4 linked regions of the Saccharomyces cerevisiae S288C genome follow. The protein of the gene in region 2 binds, or shares a complex with, the protein of the main gene of each other region. Each region holds a gene or a part of one and is shown on either strand. Other genes may lie near its edges.

Region 1 (4,596 bases), on a different chromosome or scaffold from region 2:
GCGTTAAAATATAGTTTTTTCTTGAATTTTTTTAAAATCCTCATACTTACCTTAAGATATCAGAGGAGATCAAGAAGTCCTACTGATCAAACATGCGCTTCCAATAGTAGAAGGACGTTAAGCATTTATCATTGAACTATAATTGTTCATTGAAGTCATTGATGCAAACTCCTTGGTCACACACACATACGGCGCGGAAGGCGTGTTTGCTGACGTTTCCATTCCCTTGTTTCAATCATTGGTTAATCCCTTGATTCCTTTGGGGATTTTTGGGTTAAACTGATTTTTGGGGCCCTTTGTTTCTTCTGCCTGGAGAAGTTTGACACCAAATTCAAATTGGTGTTAGGGGAGCTGGGGCCTTTCAAAAGAGAGCTTTGTAGAGGCATTCTTTTTGACTACTTTTCTCTAGCGTGCCATTTTAGTTTTTGACGGCAGATTCGAATGAACTTAAGTTTATGATGAAGGTATGGCTGTTGAGATTATTTGGTCGGGATTGTAGTTTGAAGATGTGCTCTTTTGAGCAGTCTCAACTTTGCTCGTTCCCGTTATGGGAAAAATTTTGGAAGGTCTTGGTAGGAACGGGTGGATCTTATAATTTTTGATTTATTTTCAGAAATAAATGGAACATTTTTCTATTTATTTCTTTCTTAAAGTACTGAAACTTTTAAAGTTTCATGCTTCTATTTTCTTCATTTCAGTCCTATATCTGGTGATGTGTTTTGGAATGAAACCTGTTATACGCTACATTGAGACAAGACATTGTCCAGCTTACTAAAAATACAGTGTGTTGTATATCAAGCTTCTTGATAAAAAAATAGCTATGTGGACAACAAGCAAATAATGTGCTTAAGAGAGCCGCAACAAGAAACGTAATATTATATAATGAATATAACTAGGAAGCTATCGAAGACTTGTGAAAGTATTGAAATTTCACGGATAATGTAGGATTCATGAGGGCCGCTTAATGCTTATGCTTTTCTACAGTAATTGACCGTTTTGTTTAGTAATATGAAGGAGCGTATAATGACGGTAGTTGAGAATGTGAGCTTTGCCACTCAGTTAAAATGTCCATTATACAATCTTCAAAGGGAATGTCATCTTTTTCACATTGTTCTATTTTATCATTGAGCATATCAGCTAATTCCAATATAGCTTTGCTACCAATTTTAGCATTTTCATCATCATCTTTAATGTCAACATTAATTACATGCACTATTTTGTTTAATTTCCCACCTCTATTCATCAAATCTTCACAAACGGCATCAAAACATCTCTCTTCACAAGTGAAAACGAAGTCGAAGACTTTTGTACTTTCTTGCCATTTTTCAGGTGCTTTTTTGAGTCTTCTATTACGATCCAGCATTTGCAATAAACCGTTCGACTTGTAACGGTCTGCTGATTGTGATAAAAGATCATTATATATATCATTATAGGGTGTACCAAATGAGTACACATTAGGCTTATCTATCGATAGACCAGGCAGTCTCACAGCTGAACCTGTTCCGTAAGAGCTAACATTATAGCCTGCTTCTTGCAGGACTTTATGCGATTCCATTGAACGATTGTTGTTTGATGCACAAACTGTGCAAAACTTCAAGTTTGAATTGCGATGACTAGGCATTTTGGACTTCGACACTAGTTTATACCACCGTTGTCTTAATCTTCTTACAGGTGGTCTTTAATTCGTGCCGACTGGCCTTTTTCTTTATTATCTTTCGTTTTTTAAGTTCTTTCCACTGCCGCAGACGAAAAATACGTAAAGGATGATCAAACGAATAAGAACAAAAGAACTGGATACCTCAGTTTTAGGGAATATATTAAAACAAGTATATATGCTTATGAACTAGTGAATTCCTTACACTAGCATTTTTCATCAATAGGACTGTGAATACCTACCGTTTCCTTCTCTACAAGGACGCCTTCTACTTCATAATCTGTTAAATTCGCATTAACAGTGTGTGTGTTTCCCATAACAACAATCTTCTGTTTCTTGCAATGAATATCTTGAAAACAATCATATTCGTCTACATCTTCTGTATTTGTTGTGTGTGGGAATATTGCACCAATATCTACGTAGTCTCCCTCTAGTACTCCGAGATTTTCATTATTGCTTGCATCTTTCTTCATTGAGTTAGAACTTACACTTTCCACGTCATCCATACTACAACTCACATCAAAGTCATCCATTCTCTTAGCAAGAACATTGATAATAGCAGATTCTGCAACTTCTAGCTTCCATTGTTGCCAGTCTTTTTCGCCCTTAATCAAAATACCAATGAGCATCGAGGGATCCATTTCCGATAGTTGCAATTTACCAAATTTACTGGTATGGCACGACTCTACAAATGAATCTTCTACTGCCGGTTGAGGAATATGAGGATCGAAATGTAAAAATTCATTTCCTTGATAACCAAAAAAATACAACGATGAAGACGGCCTACCGCCGGCAATGCCTACTGACTGTGTTGAACTTAAGATACCACATATACTTTCTCTATAGCTCTCATTTACCGCATTAATCCCGAGCTTCACGCCCAACAAGAACAATATTCTACTATTTGGATTCTCAGCAAATACTTTTTCAACTTCATTTTCATAGATATCGCCGGATGAAACAGATACTATACAATCATCGATGCCACATTCGGGGAAGCCATATATTAAAGATTGTATACTCCTTGCCGTAGCTGCGGGACCAAACCATTCACCTGGTCTTTTATCAGAGAGTTCTGTACCTGCAGAAACAAAGTTATGTAACGAAAATGGAGCCTCAGGCGTGTCATTAAACCAATTTACAAATTTTGATTCTCTTTCCAGACTTTCGTTACCATTTACCCTGAAATCTCTGCCCAAATGAAGGATTTGTAAGGCATTCCCCAACAAACTTTGTCCTGTCCTTATCATACACCCCCACCCAATATCAGTGTTAAAGCAATCAGGATTTGCTATATAGTCCTCTATTGTACTGATCGGATTTGTACGTACTAATAAATTTAGACTTAAAGGTGAAGGCCCATCTGGCGCCCTTGCTATAGGAACAAATCTTGTCCGATATGTAAAGTTGACCCTTGATTGTACATCCAAAAGAAATTCCTTTGTGTAAGAAGAAATTTCCCTACCAAAAAGAGAGCTTAAAAACCCGTCACTAACCGCTTCACCGCGATATCGACAGTCTTGTTCACATTGTTCAGCGCCAGATTCTTCGTCTCGCTCAGGATATACTTCCCCTAATACTATATAATCATGATTCATAAGAGCAGCCGGTTCTTCGGACGAGCCTTCAAAAACGCCATGAGACACTTTTTGTACCAAATCCATTTTCCACAGTTGTAGCCACCTCTGCATGTATATCACTCCTATACGTGATAAGAAGTCGTCCATTCTTCATCTACTAACGTTATTGTGTGTATATTTTTACTTTTTTCCTTTGAGGCGCTATTGTTGGCAGCTGCAACGGTCACCGCCTAAAGAATAAAAGTGAAATTTGACATTTTACAATTAAATAAGATCTGAACAAAACAACAACAATTAGGCCTGCGCAGAGTTTCTAGAAGGAAGAAGTGATTTAATCGCAGAGTCAAATATAAGCATAAATTGTTGTAACCGTCAAAAAAAATGGCAAAAAGGCATAGTCATTATCAAGGAAGCAGACGTAGGCATGCACGTGGTAGCAATTCCAAGAAAGCTGGCAGGGGGAATGCTAAAGGCATACAAGGCAGAAAGATAAAGAAAAAACCTACTCCCACTAACAGTTGGCATAACTCTTCTATACCACTAGGAGAAGGTGATCTTGATGATGTAGGCGCCGACTTCAACCCAGGAAGAGCATTCATATCACCAAAAACTATAGAAGACTATTATTTTGGTCGCGATGCCAAGAGCCGTTCTATGAAAATGGGTGGTTTAAGACCAGGTAATCGATATGATTCTTCAACTGACCTACAAGCAGGAAGGGCAGCATTCCGCAAAAGACCTATGCAATTTGTAAAAGCTAAGGAAGTTTACGATCCATCCCACAATATGATTCAAAAACTGAGAGCAAAGAACGAAACAAAGAACAGTGAAGAAATTGTCGAAAGGGAAGCAGACGTTTTTGAAGAACCAGGAAAGATGACTTCTGATGTTGAATATATTAACAATGAAGACAGTGAAAACGAGGATGATGATAGTCAGAATTCACCCTCGACGGACCACTCGCTGTCTTCGAATGAAAGCAAAGTTGAAGATGGTGACCTGTTTTTTGTAGATGAAGAGGCTCAGCAATCGCCGGATCTAACCAAAATAAAAAGAGTATGTATCGAGGAAATCGCAAGGCCAAGAGAAGTTGCGATAGAGTTCGATCCTATCTTAACAATTGGAAAGGTTGAACTTAGCGTTTCCGAAGGTAACGAAAGCAAGGAAATTAGTGTTGACGTTCCAAATAAGGGTAATAAGACATATCATCCATTTGCTGGTTACATTTCCAACGTATTACATGGTATGCATACTAGCGACTCGGACAATGATGAACTAGACTACGAAATAGAAACAGAGAATAATAGTGAACCTTTATACGAATCCTCAGCAAGTTCTGAGGTTGATCAAGGGTTTAATTAT
Region 2 (4,881 bases):
AGATTTTAAAGGAAAAGCCGAAACATCCTCCGCTTCTTCTGAAAGAGATAGCTACAAAAAATGTGTTATCACATTAAAATGTAAATATGAAAAACCTCGACATGAATTGGTCGAAATAGTAGACAAGGTGCCGGTGGGTAAGAGTTTTTTTGGAAAGACAAAGTATAAATTTGAAAAGAAGTATGTACAGAAAAAACCTAAACAAGATGAGTGGGATTATCTATTTGCACAAGACGGTTCATTTGCTCGTTGTGAAATTGAAATTAATGAAGAGTTTTTGAAAAACGTGGCATTTAATACCAGTCATATGCATTACAATATGATTAACAAGTGGAGTAGAATCGCAGACAAAATTCACGGCTCAAAAAGGCTGTACGAGTTACCACGCAAGGCGCCTCACAAAGTGGCTTCGTTGGATGTGGAAGCATGTTTCTTAGAAAGAACTTCTGCCTTTGAACAATTTCCCAAACAATTTTCATTGGTCAATAAGATTGTTTCCAAATACAAGTTGCAACAAAATATCTATAAAGAAGGGTATTTATTGCAGGATGGTGGTGATCTGAAAGGAAAGATAGAAAACAGGTTTTTCAAACTGCACGGCTCGCAACTTTCTGGTTATCATGAAATCTCTAGAAAGGCTAAGATCGATATTAATCTGTTGAAAGTCACGAAAGTCCTACGTAATGAAGACATCCAGGCGGATAATGGAGGGCAAAGGAATTTTACAGATTGGGTACTCTTTAATGAATGCTTCCAGCTAGTATTTGACGATGGTGAAAGAATTACTTTCAACGCGGAATGCTCTAATGAGGAAAAAAGTGATTGGTACAATAAGCTCCAGGAAGTTGTTGAGTTGAATGTTTTCCATCAACCCTGGGTGAAAAAGTATTGTGAAAAGTTAGCTGAGGAGGAAAAGACTCGAACAACCGGTCATAATTTGAAGCAAGATTTTAATTAGAAGGTGATTAATGGAATGAAAACAGCATATAATCTGATGACTGAGAGGTCTTTAGTTTAAAGATTAATTAAATACACATAATAAGAGTAAATACGTGAATCATGGACGATATATTTTTATTTCAATTTCACAGATCCCCATTCATTTCGAATTTTGATTTTGATTTTGATTAGGCTGTTGGTTCATGGGTGGCATCATACCTGGCATGGGGAATGGTGGAAAGCTACCAAACATAGGTAAGGGTGGGAAGCTTGGATGCATTGGTGGAGCGGGAGGGTTTGGTGTTCCAGACATACTATTACCCATATTACTGTTCAGATTAGACATATTTGCATTGTTTACGTTGTTGTTGTTATCAATTATATTACCGAGGTTTGAGTCTGTATCATTCGCGGAATTCAACTTCCCTTGCTGTTGGAGGGATAATAGGCCCATTAGGATCCTCCTAGGATTATAATCTTGTTGTAGTTTTTCCTGTCTATGTAAATACTCCATCCAGGTAAATTCGTTAAAACCGTAATTGAAATAATCACTTAAGTTGGCCCCCGGTTGCCTCCAGGGTTTCTCCTTTAATACTTCAGGATCTATTGTCGTTATGCCAACACTATCAAAGATTCCCTCTTTATCCAGGTCTATAGAACCAGTCATTGCTTTCGGTACATTTCCATCGCTCTCTGTAGCTTTTACGGTCGTTGCCGTTACACCTTGATTTGCTTCTCCTTCTGTTATTAGTCTTTCATCTGATGTCTTTGTGATGGTATTGGATACATCTGTAGCTACGCTAATTACGTCTTTGCTTGAAGATGTCGCTGCGGTAGAATAAGAATCGAGTAGTTTTGCATCTAACCTAGTAGGGTCAGGACCCAGACTTATGATAACCTCTAGGTCAGAATCACTATCGTCATCTGAGGAGTCAGAGTAGATATCTTCATCAGAACGATCATCTCTGGCAGTAGCTGGAGTTTCTTCCACGGGAGAGTCGAATTTTTGCCTTTTAACTATATCAGGATTACTGGACGCACCTGCGTCTGCTTCATCATCTCTTGATCGTTTAGATGAAGGTAGTGCTAATTCGGAGTCGGAACCATACAAGAACTTGTCGTCTTCGTCTTCACTGGAGCTCATTTAGAGAAATGCTAATAATTTTAGTGTAGGCAAAAGGAATAAGAATGCAAAGCACGATGGTGCGGTTTAACAAAGTGAATTTGGTGATGTACTCTCTCAAGATTTATGTCGCATTATTCGCTACGAAGGTTTTTCAAGATTAAAACGAATCTCCTTTCCCATCGCGACATACGATAAGGCTAATAACGCTACGGTATTATGTCATGGAGCTTGAGACATTGAATACATATATATACCTATATATAATATATATATATGCAAATACACAAATTCTTAGCAATTTGAGTGAGACAATGGAAATAAAGAAATGAGTGTGAATGGATATATTTTGAGGGAAGGGGGAAGATTGTAGTACTTTTCGAGAATTAAGAATAGGTTTTACTAAACTTGTAGGATATTTCTTGAAACCTGACCTTGTCATAATAATCTTGATCATTAGAACTGCTGAAGGAGTAAGCCGCAGCATATCTTGACAGTTTGGAGTTCAACTTTTTTAGGAATTCTAACTCTTTTGAATTTAATTTTTGTAGTGATGGCGGTGGTGATTTTTCAACGTCGAAGGCAATTTCTAATGGGTAATAGTAGGAGGGCACCTGAGGTTCATCTATAAATGGATCTGCCTCATATACATTATCGGAGGCGTTGTTATTATTGCTGGTATTATTATAGTAATTACAATTAGTGCTTTTATGGTTGCTATAGTGACGATTATTAAAGGAATGTATGTTATCAGTATGTGGTGGAAACTGATCTTGATATTGGGAGTATGAATCCGTGTTTTTTGAATTTATTGATTCATGAATATTTGTGGGTTTTGAATAGGTATAATTAGTGGTATATGGGTAGAAGTCTTGTGTGTATGGGAATTCATTGAATTCAAAATTTTCTTGGAATATTTTGATATCTTTTTGTGCATTTGTATTAGTTTCATATTTTATTGTGTCACTAATATCGATATCATCTCCATTTCTGTTGCTCTTTTGAAAGTTATCATGGTTATTGAATGATGAGTGGAACGTAGATGCGGATTCATCATTAGAAAAAAGAGATGATAATGAAGAGGATCTGGTACTTTCAGAGCTCTTTTTTCCTCTTTCAGGACCAGTTGCCATTGTGCAGTCCTTCGTAGTTTTCGTTTCCTTGGAAATAGGCTGAGAATCAATATTTTCCAAATTCAGAAACTCTTCATTGAACAATATTTGAGGATTAATTAAATGAATTGGTTGTGTATGAACCAAGTTCTGCAGCTGAGATGAGGCAATTTTGTCAGACTTTTCAAAATGCCAACTTCTAGGGGAAATTGTAGATCCAAAAGAAAAACAAGGACGGTCTTCTTGATCGGTGGTTGTGTCATAATAAATGTTAGGTTGTTGTTGCTGTTCAAAAGGAAAGAGGAAGAAACCATCTTCTAAGGCAGCGTGAAGTTTTCCATGCATATCCGCTTGCATTTTGTTTGTGGGGAGAGGAATAGAAAAGCTTTTCTTTTATTATTTTTTTCCTTTTTCACCAGTAATGGGTGCCAGTAGGAATTTGTTTCTCTGTAGGTGACTAATGACAGTAGTATATTATGCTTTTAATCTTTAACAATACTACTGGTCGATTTATAATATGATAATGTAAAATAAATCGTAATAGGATAGTCGATGTTTGTATCTACTTCACGAAACAGTTATGGTATACGGTAGTTTAAATATCTGAAGAAGCAAAAATACCGAACTACAAGGGAAGCATTTTGAGAAAAATATTAAGATCAAAAGATAATTAATTTACCTTAAATACATAAAAGAGGAAAAGTAATATACAAGGTAAACAACAGGCAAGGAACAAGATCAAAAACGTCCGACCCCAATTTAGTAGTAAATTACAGTAAGAGAAAAAGGTATTGGGGCTGATACATATTAATTGTGCGTTGTTGTTGTTGTTTAATTTTAGATTGGCTATTATGAGTACACACAAAACGTTGTAAACGCAATCACCCATGGATAAGCGCTCCCTTTAAAATGCACTACGAAATCATTGATCTACTAACTTTAAACCGGACTTAAACCATCAAAGGGTGCTCTAGATCTCATCGATGTATTCTGATGCAGCCAAAATTGCGCAATCAATCACGTTTCCCGATATAGAAAACTAATTGGCTGTGTTACGTGGCTGGGGGTTCTGTAATTCCTTTCTTCCCCGGTGAATCATCAAGATTGGGCTAAGCGCCTTTGATCCTTTCCCTCGAAGACGGAAATGGGGCCGCAGGATAAAAAATGGTGTGTCTGTAATTCCGATTTTTTGCTTATGTAATCATGTAACTTTCTTCTAGTCCCTTTGCAGACATGCATGACACTTCCTTACCCGAATAGTGAGTTAGATCTGTGTTAGGATGCAGGATGGGCAGTTCAAAGGCTTTTCTTATCGTATCTTTACCTTTTCCTGTAACTAAGAAGGTTTTTGAGTGCATGTAAAGGCACATAAATGAAACTTTAATTCCCTGCGTATTTAAGACCCAAGAAGCCACCATGACGCTTCCTTGATGTTGTATCTACCCCCAATCCTGGCGCCCCCTCCTGCGGGCACGCATGCGCCTTTGATCCTTCCCCTCGAAGACGAAAAGTAAACAAAGATACGCACTTTTTTTCTCCAACGCAGTATTGAAGGTACCATCACATGCTTACTCACTTTGCGGCTGCTATAACACCGTGGCAGTGTAACGTTTTACCGTTTGTCCTTTGCTACCGCATTTTAAAGTGGTACAAGATGTTGAGAGAAAAGATTTCCTGCAGCCATGATTAGGAGAGGTAATAGCGGAT
Region 3 (5,305 bases), on a different chromosome or scaffold from region 2:
GTTATCAGCATGACTCTTGTATTTTCATAATGAAAAATGAAAATAAAAATTTTAGTAGATGAATATAATACGCAGAAAGAACAGGCTAAAAAAGTACGAAAAGCAACTTCATTATATTTCCGCATTCATCCTTCAATTATGGCCAGCAAGACTTTGAGGGTTCTTTTTCTGGGTCCCAAAGGTACGTATTCCCATCAAGCTGCATTACAACAATTTCAATCAACATCTGATGTTGAGTACCTCCCAGCAGCCTCTATCCCCCAATGTTTTAACCAATTGGAGAACGACACTAGTATAGATTATTCAGTGGTACCGTTGGAAAATTCCACCAATGGACAAGTAGTTTTTTCCTATGATCTCTTGCGTGATAGGATGATCAAAAAAGCCCTATCCTTACCTGCTCCAGCAGATACTAATAGAATTACACCAGATATAGAAGTTATAGCGGAGCAATATGTACCCATTACCCATTGTCTAATCAGCCCAATCCAACTACCAAATGGTATTGCATCCCTTGGAAATTTTGAAGAAGTCATAATACACTCACATCCGCAAGTATGGGGCCAGGTTGAATGTTACTTAAGGTCCATGGCAGAAAAATTTCCGCAGGTCACCTTTATAAGATTGGATTGTTCTTCCACATCTGAATCAGTGAACCAATGCATTCGGTCATCAACGGCCGATTGCGACAACATTCTGCATTTAGCCATTGCTAGTGAAACAGCTGCCCAATTGCATAAGGCGTACATCATTGAACATTCGATAAATGATAAGCTAGGAAATACAACAAGATTTTTAGTATTGAAGAGAAGGGAGAACGCAGGCGACAATGAAGTAGAAGACACTGGATTACTACGGGTTAACCTACTCACCTTTACTACTCGTCAAGATGACCCTGGTTCTTTGGTAGATGTTTTGAACATACTAAAAATCCATTCACTCAACATGTGTTCTATAAACTCTAGACCATTCCATTTGGACGAACATGATAGAAACTGGCGATATTTATTTTTCATTGAATATTACACCGAGAAGAATACCCCAAAGAATAAAGAAAAATTCTATGAAGATATCAGCGACAAAAGTAAACAGTGGTGCCTGTGGGGTACATTCCCCAGAAATGAGAGATATTATCACAAATAATATGTTATATAGTCTTTTTATTTATGTATCCTAAAATCTCGTCAAAGCGCACTTTTATATGCTTAAACCTGGCAATGTGGAACTCTTGATGTTTGAATCGATGCCTGGGATTTCTTGACGCGGTTTCTTGTTGATGAATCCATTCATGTTTGGTAACGCATGTGGTTCAAGTGTAGCTGGTGGTGGCGGGGCCGCACCGAATTCACTCTTCTCTCTCACAGCATTGATGTCGTTATTGATGCCAAAAAACCATCCATTTATCTTCTTATTGTTATAAGTTGGATCATCATATGCATTAGGATCAATTGGCCTCGCTCTAGTCCAAAATCTTATGGTTCTATCCTTAGCTGCTGTGGCAAATATATGTCCTACTGGATTATATGATAACGAGGTGATACACTTATCATGGGCGTATGGAATAGTCAAAATAGGTTCGTTTAGATTTTGTAAAAGATCAAAATGCTTTAGCGAGCCGTCATAGCACGCCAGAGTGAACATAGATTCATTTATTGGGTGCCATTCTAGTGTCATATAATCCGTTTCATCTCTTACACACATTAGTTCCTTCATACTGTATCTAATGTCGAACACACGACACGATTTATCTTTTGAAATCGCCATTAATAGATTTCCCTTGGTGGGTTGAAATCGCGTCTTCAAGACAGTATGTTTGAACTTCAGAATTGATGATATGCAGTTTCCGGAACGCGGATCCCACAGTTTTACTAAATTGTCCTTAGATGCGGAGGCAATTAACCCCATCTCGGGATGCCAATCACAACTTTTCACGTCCCAGTGGTGCCCCGATAATACTCTTTCTTGTTTGCCATTGCTGAAGTTCCAAATCTTCAAGATATTATCATCTGAACAGGTAACAAATTTCGAGTCGTTACTACTGAATGCCATATCCCTAATACTTTCCGTGTGTGCAGCATCAATTTCTTTAACCATACTAAAGTTTGGTTGCCATATCTTAATCATTCCATCTGCGTCCCCACTAATCATCCAATCACTGTCGTGAGAATATTTCATTGTAGTCACAGCCGAATCATGTGCTTGCATGAGGGTTTCAAACGTAAACGAAGATGCGTTCCATAGAGAAAATTCTCCGCTATAAGTTGCTACTACAAGTCTTCTGCCTTCTGGGGTCCATTGGATGGCGGGTATCACATGTTTCACTTTATTCGAGCTTAAATGCGTAAATTTGCTGGGCAAATTTATGACTCGATCTCGACCTCTGTAGGCATTAGGCGGCATTATATCTATTGTGTATGAAGTTTCTGGCTCTACCACTAGGTTCGGTAATCCATGTCGTCTGTTGTAATATAGGTTAATATACGGAGAACTCACGTCTACCGATCGTCTCTGTGTCACATATTTCTTCAGAGGTGGTTGTTGTGACTGCTGAATTTGATTCTGATTCTGGTACTGGTTCTGATTATGCCCGTCCATAACGTGTCTATGTTGAGCTTCTTAATATCTACCCAGCAACCTGTATATCAGTGCTTTCTTTAATTATACTTCCCTTGACAAATCGATACGTCGGCCCTCAAAAGAAGAGGAAAAAAAATAGAAAAAAAAATAGAAAATAAAAATGTCAGTAATTCTAATGATGACACAAATTCAAATAGCAACATTGAATACTGTTTAACAGAACAATTAACCACTTTTAATTAGAAATACTAACAAAGAATTTGTTAACGTATTCTTAGGAAGTAAAGTACTTCAATTATTGCTAGAAATGACTGCTCAGATTCCGTATCAACATAGCTCGGGATACATCTCTCATTTTCACAATAATGAGCTTGATGCAGGCAGGGGAAGGGATTATAATGTAACCATTAAGTATCTAGATGATAAAGAAGAAAATATAGAAGGCCAAGCAGCAAAGATTAGTCACAATGCGAGTCTGCATATTCCCGTTTTATTGTGCTTGGTAATCTCGCTTGGTGGCTTTATTTTTGGATGGGACATTGGAACCATCGGTGGAATGACAAATATGGTTAGCTTTCAAGAAAAATTTGGCACAACTAATATTATCCATGACGATGAAACAATTTTTGTATCTACTAAGAAACTTACTGATCTGCAAATAGGCCTAATTATCAGTATTTTTAACATCAGTTGTGGCGTAGGGGCTTTAACTCTGTCAAAAATCGGTGATTGGATTGGTAGGAAAGGTGGTATATGGTTTGCCTTAGTAGTGTACTGCATCGGTATAACCATTCAAATTCTCTCCTATGGAAGGTGGTATTTTTTGACATTGGGAAGAGCCGTAACGGGAATCGGTGTGGGAGTAACCACTGTCTTGGTGCCAATGTTTCTCTCCGAGAATTCTCCACTAAAAATCAGAGGCTCCATGGTATCTACGTATCAATTGATTGTAACATTTGGCATACTAATGGGAAACATTTTAAATTTCATATGCGAAAGATGTTATAAAGATCCTACACAAAATATAGCCTGGCAATTGCCATTGTTCTTGGGATACATTTGGGCAATTATAATTGGAATGTCACTTGTTTACGTTCCTGAATCTCCACAGTACTTGGCAAAAATCAAAAATGATGTGCCCTCTGCTAAATACTCTTTTGCGAGGATGAATGGCATCCCTGCGACGGATAGCATGGTAATTGAATTCATCGATGATTTGCTGGAAAATAACTATAATAATGAGGAAACTAACAACGAATCAAAAAAGCAAAGCTTAGTTAAAAGAAACACATTTGAATTTATTATGGGAAAGCCAAAGTTATGGTTGAGACTGATTATTGGTATGATGATAATGGCATTTCAACAGCTGTCCGGAATAAATTATTTCTTTTATTACGGAACGTCTGTTTTCAAAGGTGTCGGGATTAAGGATCCTTATATTACTTCAATCATACTGTCAAGTGTTAACTTCCTTTCTACGATATTAGGCATATATTACGTGGAGAAATGGGGCCACAAGACATGTTTATTATATGGTTCAACAAATTTATTATTTTATATGATGACATATGCTACTGTGGGGACATTTGGAAGAGAAACGGACTTCTCAAATATTGTTTTAATTATCGTGACTTGTTGTTTTATTTTTTGGTTTGCAATAACATTGGGCCCAGTTACATTTGTACTAGTGTCCGAATTGTTCCCTCTAAGAACGAGGGCCATATCAATGGCTATTTGCACATTTATCAATTGGATGTTCAATTTCTTAATATCACTTTTAACACCAATGATTGTATCCAAAATTGATTTCAAACTAGGATACATATTTGCTGCTTGCCTATTAGCGTTGATAATATTCAGTTGGATACTAGTTCCTGAAACGAGGAAAAAGAATGAGCAAGAGATCAATAAAATATTTGAACCGGAGTAGATATTACATAATATAAATAGAAGAAGTAGCAAAGTGCAGTTTTTTTTTCCATAATAAATAACCATCAGTAACTAAGTGGCCGTGAGGACTGACCACATTTTCTTTACATACAGTAAAGTAAATAAATCTATCAAATATTTTGATTATTACTTTTAGATAAAACCCTTCTCTATTAGAAAATCTCTTATTATATCCCAGTACCCATCTTGAATAATAGTATCATTGTGTGAACCAAGTGGAAATTCGAAAATCTTTTTGTTCGAACTAGGACATGTTTCGTACAGTTTCCTCATGTGGAAGGGTGGAACGATTTCATCTTTTAATCCACTTAAAAACAAGAATGGCGTCTCTGAACTACAGCTTCCCATAAGGCCTTCTGAATTCCAGATTTCGTGACATAAAAGCGTAAAGCGTTTCAAAAGGGGGAAAATATATGGGATAACTTTTCGAATACTCAAAAATGTATTCTCCAGTATAACGCCATCGCATAGATCCCGAAATTTTGAAGCAATGTAAAGAGCATTAGCACCACCTAGAGATCTACCATACAATACTAGTTTTCTCTTTGAATGGAAAGAATCCGTTGACAAATGCGATATGACACAATCAGCGTCCAATTTCAAACCCTTTTCGCTGGGTGAACCTTCTGAGTTACCATAACCACGATACGAATAAATAAATACACTCATTCCAAACTGACGATAGAAAATGTCAATTATTAGTATAAAGTATCCAATATTACCGGCATTGGGACATAAGATCAACACAGTACTTGTTGAGTTTTCATTCTTGATATCC
Region 4 (7,926 bases), on a different chromosome or scaffold from region 2:
GTTGATTAAATTAAATCACGAGTTGAGTAAAATTTCAGAATCTCTGATAAAAACGGATTTTTATGAACAGAGGAAAAATAGCACAGTTTCTAATGGAGTTTTAGGCGCAGCAGCTCCTGTTGATAGCGACGCAAATTCGGATACTTTCGGTTTAACAAAGGAGAATTTCAACGAAGTTTTTGAGGCTATTCGTAGCTAAAGCGACTCAAACAAATTAAAGAAGAAGTTGAGACTTTTATAGTATTTATTATTTAATCTGAGGATTTGTATTATTTTTTTATATAGAATGAATAAATCAGAAAAAGGAAATTATGAAAAGAAAAGAATGAGGAGAGTGGGAGATATTTAATGTTGTTAGCTATTTATCTGTATGGAAGTTATTACCTTCTTTTAAGATGGTACAAATAGCATATAGGTGGGTTTGGTATAAAGATCATTTAGTTTTTGTCATAGATTTTTCAATTGTGCATAGGACCAGTTTATGTTACCTCTATCATACTTATATTTTTTTATATACAAATTTTTAAATTACCGATATTATATATAGGCACCGATAGTATAGCCCACCAAAGCGCCCAAATAACCTCCAACAACAATAGGAATTGGCCAATTCTGCCAATCTCTATCCCAATCCAAAGGAATGACAACACAACTAATCCAACCCCCTACAACGATAAAGATAAAATACTTCTTCCATAATCCCACTTTGAAATCACAATTAAATACAGAATAAACTGCAGGGTATGCTAAAAATGCAAAATGCAGTGACAACAGCCAGGTTTCCCACAATAAGTCCATTAATGGCGCACCAAATAATATAGTTAATAACATTGTGGGAAAGCTCAACAAAAATGTAACACCTAGACAAATAATGGTCAATGAGTAATTGATCTTAATGATTTTGTTACCGTAAACTGTGCATTTATTGAATTGTAAAACTAAATAAGCAACTTGTGTAGGAATCAAAAAACTTAGCAACTTCACCGTATTGAAATTTGAAGATACAAAAACGTAGTAATAAAGTAGTGCTACTAAATGGTATGGAAATGTCATCAGAGGGGTTTTCCTCACATACACAGGTGGACGATCATGATCTACGTTCTTTTTCTCACGATTTTGGTGCGTTGTTAATGTTGTGTCATCGGAGAATGATACGGTTTTTTTCACTGTCTTTCTAGTCCTTTTTTTAGCTGGCATATTTAAATTGGACCTTCTTTAGTGCACTTGTTTATGTTCCTGCAAAGTCTTTGATTAAAGGCACCGTTTGCACTTTTGCTTTATTTCACTAACTGTTCTTTATTTGTTTTTTTTGCTGTGCAAAAAGTAACTTTTTCCTCATCCCCGCGTTACGTAAATAGTTCCGAAAATGTACGATGATACATGCGTTATTGTTACAAATCTAGTGTTTCAAGTAGTGGTTCTTATTCACTACTCGAATGCCTAGTGATAGATAGATGTATATATCGGGCTAGTTAGCATTAAATATCCTTTATATGTATTGTTCACTTACCCTGGCATAAAGATCTCATTGAAAATTCAATATTTATGATATCTCTCCATGCTTCAAAATGCGCATGTCTTCCTGCTTTCTGCGCAATGCTTTTCCGTCTATCAATAGCTAATCCACAGAACCTCCGTATAACGTTGAAATCAAGCATAGGCCTCATAGAGTGACCCATCTGATAAAAGTCGTTGGCCAATCTTTCCATGCGAGGGTTTAAACCACCTAGCTGTAATTCTCGATCGATGATTTGTTGTTGAATCACATAAAGTCTTCTGTATTTTTCCTCACTTAAAGGAACTATCTTGAAGACTGACCCATCCACTTGGCCACCAACGTTTTGAAACGATGGCACTTGAGGAGAGCCAAATTCCTCGTTTCTTGGTAAAAGCATCATACAACTATTGGTGGAATGCAACGTGAAACTGGAGCAGTGGACTAAACGTTGACCCGAAAGAGAGTTGGGTTCATCTGGCGCATATTTTAAAACATGAACATTTCTGTCAGCATCTGTTGCCGCAAAATACATATCCCCTCCGTTCACTAAAAACTCTAGCGACATTGTTTGAAATTTCGACATACTTCTGCCCAATGAAATCATCCTGTATGGTTCTGCGTCAAAACCAATAAATTGGAACCCCTGCATAGCGTCACCAATTATCAAAAGATTACCAAAGCTTTTAGAATCCGTAACGAAAACAGGAATATCCAAAAATGCCACTGGTATGACGGAATTATCTTCTTGGATATCTCTTACTAGAACTTTTTGGCTTTGACTAATCATGAATCTTCCACTAACCTCACAAACAGTAGATACAGTACCACTGACCTCTTCTTGAAAAATTTCCTTGAGCTTATAATTGGTATCAGGTTTACCAGGTTCGGGAACAACTTCTATCACATCATAAATATGGAAAGCGCCAGTTGGTGGAGTGTCTTCAGTGGTGGCATTGGCAACACCGGCTATAATGTATTCTCTTTTCCTCTTAGTTTTTGAATTAATTTGAATCATAGAGGATCTCATTTCATTGACGACAGAATTCTTTGGAAAGTCGATTTTATCAATGACCTTCCAACTTTTTGGATTAATGAGTAAAATTCCACTTTGAAATCCTTCCGCATGAGGAACATTCTCGTCATAACCAATTACTTTTTCGCCATCTTCTCCTAATGCTTCGTAAGGAACCCGCTTGCAATAAGATACAAGAAACAATTGAGCCCTTTCATGATAGACTAGTTTTTGCAGAGTTTTGTAGTCATCAAGCACATTGCTGATCTTTATCTGTTTCAATGGTAATTTGTTACCATAGTACATATTGTCAGTAGTTAGTGTGTAAACTCTGGCGTTTTTAATATCATCTACACACATGACTGAACGCTCGCTCCAGGGAGTGACTGAAACCAATGGTATGTTTCCGAATTTGAAAATCTTCGGTGTGGAATCATCTTCTTTTATTAATATGTATGGAACGCTACCGGTTACAAATATTACCGAATAACCGTTGTAATCGGGAAAGTAATGCATGATTCTTTCGATGGAACTAACACCCTTGGCGTATGCATTGTCAGGAGCACCAGTAATAGCTAGATCATTTCTTGTAACGTTTCTATAAAATCTACTACGTCTTTGTGGTAATTTTCTATATTGGTAAATCTCTCCTCCGAAGGTTAATATTGTCAGGTATTCTTCTTTATTGTCATGGCCCAGTTTGTTTATCATTACTTGTTTAATCGATGGATCAGGGACGATCTCATCGCCCAGTTGATAAGTGCTAATGTATAAAGATTCATTTAATTGGTCAACACCATTTAGTTGAAAGATTCTGTCATTATGGTCTTTAGTAAAAAAGATAATTTGGTTATCTGCAGTAACAAATGTAAACAATAACTGTTCTTCTTGAGACTTACTCAACCCAATCAAAAATTCATTACACATATTGCTTTTCAAAATCAAACCAGATGTAATAACCATTTCATTCAAAATTTCTGGCAAATCAACTTTTAACAATTTTCTTTTATTCTTTTCCTCCAATTCAAATATCTTAATATCACCCCTTGATACGGTAACTAGTATATACGGATCCATGACGGAAACATGAATAACTTCGTAGTCAAATTTAATTGTGGTGAGACGTCTAAAATGTGTATCATATAAATATAAGTGATTGGTGGTGACTTGTATTATTCTTTTTTCTTCACCAAACATTGAAATGTAAACTGTAGTAGCATCTCTTCTTAAACGGCCGCCCTTATGAAGTTTGAAGTTATTGTCACTTTCATATATGTCACTCCGGGATTTTGTGGAATCAGTAGTTATTAAGTACCTATCTCTTCCTTTGATCTTCAGATTCCAGATTTGTGTTATACTGATAAATTTCAATGCTAATTCAATTTCCGGTTGAACACTAGTCTGTATGACGGTCAAATGAGAACCTGAACCATTTCCCGATGTGGCAACTAGCGAATACTCGTTTTTGTTTGGATTTGGTAGTCCTTTTACCACATCATCAATGGAAGATACCTTACCTACAGTTAACGATGTGATGGGACCAACATTCCTTAGAGATGATAACAGTTCGATATCGAAAGGTTGAACAGTTTCCACAGTGCCTTTGGAATCATTAGTTGTTAGTCCATTTTCAGGAGCTTCATCGGCGTATAAATCGTCCATTTCCTCATCATCGTCGTCATTGATATCCATCAAACTATTTGTACCTGAAGATGGATTGTGTGCTTCTCTTGTTTCAATGGTAGATTTCAAATTATTCAATCTGAGAACCAAAGCATTTCCTGAACCAAACCCAATAAATAAGTCCATATTTTTGTTTGAATTGGTGGCATTCAAACGTGTTATACATTTTGGATTGGAGTTCTCCTTCAAAAGATCATTGACTATAGGTAGCTTGAAAATATCGAATTTAATCAGTAACCTGCCCTCTGCTTCCATTTGGATATAGTATATATTGGATTTCAAGTCCATAAGTAGTAGTGTTTCGTCATTATTACTTCCTCCGTTTTTGCTCTTGGACGAAGGTATCCAAATTGACGTAGTGTTTTTCTCCCTGAACATAATTTCCAATGAAGAATTGTTGATAATTTTTGTTTTCTGTAACTCTTTATCAGCAAATGAGTTTAATAATACTGTCGATTGTAAAACGCCAGTATTATCTAGAAATGCCAGTTCATTGGTTCCCACAATGATAGCACCATTCGAAACAGGTACAATGGTGTGTAGATCCCAAGGCAGTTCCTTGACAAATGCTATTGTGGTTGATTCAATCTTGGTGGCACTTTCTGCAGGCTGGATATTTAATGTGAGTATAACGTATTGTGTAGGGAGTTTTGAAATGGTGGTGTTTCCTGCCCAAACAAGCTTTGGTTGGTATAAGAGCGCTATCGTTGGTTTAGTAAAATTTTTCAAGAACTGAATATCTATGATATTTTTGGCGCCTTCGTACAACTCACTCGCTACCAATACCACGCTTGGAGCCGTGAACTTGTCACCTAACTTGGTTCTCTTCCTCTTATTGAAAGTATTCGTCCCTTGGGATTTTTGATTCATGCTATGGATTAATTCACTATCGTCTATGTTCTCGTCCTCATCTTCTTCCTCCTCATCGTCGTCATTTTTATTGACATGGAAGGGTAGAAAAGCGATAATGTCATTATTGAACAGTAAGGCACAAGAACTTCCAGGATCCATTCTCAAGGTGGAAATTTTGGCCAGCTCTACCAACGATTTACCCTTGAACTTTCCTTCGTAGTAATGCAGGCTTAGGGTATCGATTGAGTTTGTTAGCGTGTTGAACTTTAAAATAGAGATTTTAGCGACGCCTGTGCATAAAAGCAGGCAACTTAACGGACTGTCTTTTTGGGGAATGAGGCCTATATCGGTGATCAAGCCATGAAACTTAAACTCATCAGTCAAATACAGTTTACCATCCCTAGTAGGCCTGTAGACAGAAAGGATATTTGTTCGCACCACTAAGAGCTCCTCATAATCTGAAGTAGTAAAATGTGTTGCTAATGAATGAGACACAACAGTAGCGTCAAGCACATCATCATATACATTCATAGGGCCAGTAGCTAGAGTAAAAAGCGAATCTAGGTTAGTACCTGATAGTTTTAATCAGTGAAGTGTTCAAGGGACGGTGATCTTCCTCAATTTACATATGATTGCTTTAACGCTGCTCTGTGAAATATGTCACCTCGAACTTACCTTATATTAAGATCACTTACTACGTTGTCTTATTGGGAGCCGACGGGATGAGGAAGCACAAAATGTCACTAATAGGGCTGGTCAGTGGCACAGTGAATCATAATATATCGGTTGAGCACCAGTTAAAGTATGAACATGTTAAATTTAAGACTCTCACTTATCAATGGTTACATTTTGGTCTAAATTTATTTATTTATGACACTATCAGGTACCTTGGTAAAGGAATTGAAAATAAATAGCACCCACACATCGCATGATGGCAGGAAATGAAAAATTACATCAGCGAACTAATGCTTTCTCGATGAATTATTCATCCATCAAAACGGTCTTTCAAGATTAATGTCTAGTTGCTTCAAAGATAGGCATAGTTTAGGTCATTTTATCAGCTACTGTAATATAGTCATAAGAACGCGAAAATGAAGGATGCTAATGAGAGTAAATCGTATACTATAGTGATCAAATTAGGCTCTTCATCGCTAGTAGATGAAAAAACCAAAGAACCTAAGTTAGCTATCATGTCGCTTATTGTCGAAACTGTAGTCAAATTGAGAAGAATGGGACACAAAGTTATCATCGTGTCCAGTGGTGGTATTGCTGTTGGTTTGAGGACTATGCGTATGAATAAAAGACCAAAACATTTAGCAGAAGTTCAGGCCATCGCAGCTATTGGGCAGGGTAGATTGATCGGGAGATGGGATCTTCTGTTTTCGCAATTTGATCAACGTATCGCTCAAATTCTATTGACCAGAAATGATATTCTGGACTGGACCCAATATAAGAACGCTCAAAACACAATTAATGAATTGTTGAACATGGGCGTTATTCCCATTGTGAATGAAAACGACACACTATCTGTTAGAGAAATCAAATTTGGTGACAATGACACTTTATCAGCAATTACTTCTGCTTTAATCCATGCAGATTATCTTTTCTTACTGACAGATGTTGACTGTTTGTATACTGATAATCCAAGGACAAACCCAGATGCCATGCCGATCTTAGTTGTCCCAGATCTCTCAAAGGGTTTGCCCGGTGTGAATACTGCTGGTGGTTCAGGTTCTGACGTTGGGACCGGTGGTATGGAAACTAAATTGGTTGCTGCAGATTTGGCAACGAATGCCGGTGTTCATACGTTGATCATGAAAAGCGATACACCTGCGAATATAGGTAGAATTGTCGAGTATATGCAAACTCTAGAACTTGACGATGAAAATAAAGTTAAACAAGCATATAATGGCGATTTAACGGATTTGCAAAAAAGAGAATTTGAGAAATTAAAGGCTCTTAACGTTCCACTACATACGAAGTTCATTGCTAATGATAATAAACACCATCTAAAGAATAGAGAGTTTTGGATTTTACACGGTCTTGTCTCTAAAGGCGCTGTTGTTATAGACCAAGGTGCGTACGCAGCCTTAACAAGGAAAAATAAGGCGGGATTATTGCCAGCAGGTGTTATTGATGTTCAGGGCACTTTCCATGAGTTAGAATGTGTTGACATAAAAGTTGGTAAAAAGTTACCAGATGGCACGTTAGATCCAGATTTTCCCTTGCAAACAGTAGGCAAGGCAAGATGCAATTACACGAGTTCTGAATTAACTAAAATTAAAGGTTTGCACAGTGACCAAATCGAAGAGGAATTGGGCTATAATGACAGCGAATATGTCGCTCATAGAGAAAATTTGGCATTCCCACCTCGTTGAAACGAACTAAAAAGTTATAGAGGATTCCCTTAATGATATTTCTTATATAAAACACTACCTTTATATTTCCAGGTTAAATAATGACACATTAAGCATGTTTTGTTTTTTTGAAGAATTGTGCAGAGCAGCTGTTTCTTCCTAATCCACATTAGTGTTCTTAACTCAAAAAAAAGGTAGTTGTTAACAGCTACTTTTTGTGATCCGTTAAAATCCTTCTATCTACTTATAAGCCCTAAATTAAATGAGTTGTGCGTATTTAAAATAAATGTATATTCAACCAAAGATTTGGATATCATCGTTTTTAACAGCCTCTAATTCTTCGTCATTTTCTATTCTGGCATGTTGTTCCTCATCCTCATTTTCATTAAAGTTCACTCGTTGACCTAACAATCCCGCAAAGAATTCATCGATTTGGTCGTCTGACCATTTGTATCCGGATGTGATGGGGGCTTCATAATTCGCAATTGGATCTTGAACTGAGTAGTTCAATTTCCTACCCTTGG

Evidence for each region.
Region 1: FIP1 (region 2) and SSU72 share a complex: the UniProt entries of both Saccharomyces cerevisiae proteins name them as parts of the cleavage and polyadenylation factor (CPF) complex.
Region 3: FIP1 (region 2) and PFS2 share a complex: the UniProt entries of both Saccharomyces cerevisiae proteins name them as parts of the cleavage and polyadenylation factor (CPF) complex.
Region 4: FIP1 (region 2) and CFT1 share a complex: the UniProt entries of both Saccharomyces cerevisiae proteins name them as parts of the cleavage and polyadenylation factor (CPF) complex.

What each region holds. Positions count from the first base shown.
Region 1 is NC_001146.8:226,119-230,714, reverse strand, and holds SSU72 (RNA polymerase II subunit A C-terminal domain phosphatase), read right to left. Parts: upstream 1,622-4,596; coding exon 1,001-1,621; downstream 1-1,000. Other genes in the region: cysteine protease ATG4, read right to left, coding at 1,861-3,345; SQS1 (Sqs1p), read left to right, coding at 3,616-4,596. UniProt on the Saccharomyces cerevisiae protein: Component of the cleavage and polyadenylation factor (CPF) complex, which plays a key role in polyadenylation-dependent pre-mRNA 3'-end formation and cooperates with cleavage factors including the CFIA complex and NAB4/CFIB.
Region 2 is NC_001142.9:602,121-607,001, forward strand, and holds FIP1 (cleavage polyadenylation factor subunit FIP1), read right to left. Parts: upstream 2,084-4,881; coding exon 1,100-2,083; downstream 1-1,099. Other genes in the region: BUD4 (Bud4p), read left to right, coding at 1-958; transcription factor IME1, read right to left, coding at 2,449-3,531. UniProt on the Saccharomyces cerevisiae protein: Polymerase-regulating component of the cleavage and polyadenylation factor (CPF) complex, which plays a key role in polyadenylation-dependent pre-mRNA 3'-end formation and cooperates with cleavage factors including the CFIA complex and NAB4/CFIB.
Region 3 is NC_001146.8:37,909-43,213, reverse strand, and holds PFS2 (cleavage polyadenylation factor subunit PFS2), read right to left. Parts: upstream 2,596-5,305; coding exon 1,198-2,595; downstream 1-1,197. Other genes in the region: prephenate dehydratase PHA2, read left to right, coding at 139-1,143; HXT14 (Hxt14p), read left to right, coding at 2,885-4,507; YNL320W (uncharacterized protein), read right to left, coding at 4,660-5,305. UniProt on the Saccharomyces cerevisiae protein: Integral and essential component of the cleavage and polyadenylation factor (CPF) complex, which plays a key role in polyadenylation-dependent pre-mRNA 3'-end formation and cooperates with cleavage factors including the CFIA complex and NAB4/CFIB.
Region 4 is NC_001136.10:1,061,002-1,068,927, reverse strand, and holds CFT1 (cleavage/polyadenylation factor CFT1), read right to left. Parts: upstream 5,577-7,926; coding exon 1,503-5,576; downstream 1-1,502. Other genes in the region: RSC3 (Rsc3p), read left to right, coding at 1-199; mannose-ethanolamine phosphotransferase GPI11, read right to left, coding at 538-1,197; PRO1 (glutamate 5-kinase), read left to right, coding at 6,137-7,423; rRNA-processing protein BFR2, read right to left, coding at 7,697-7,926. UniProt on the Saccharomyces cerevisiae protein: RNA-binding component of the cleavage and polyadenylation factor (CPF) complex, which plays a key role in polyadenylation-dependent pre-mRNA 3'-end formation and cooperates with cleavage factors including the CFIA complex and NAB4/CFIB.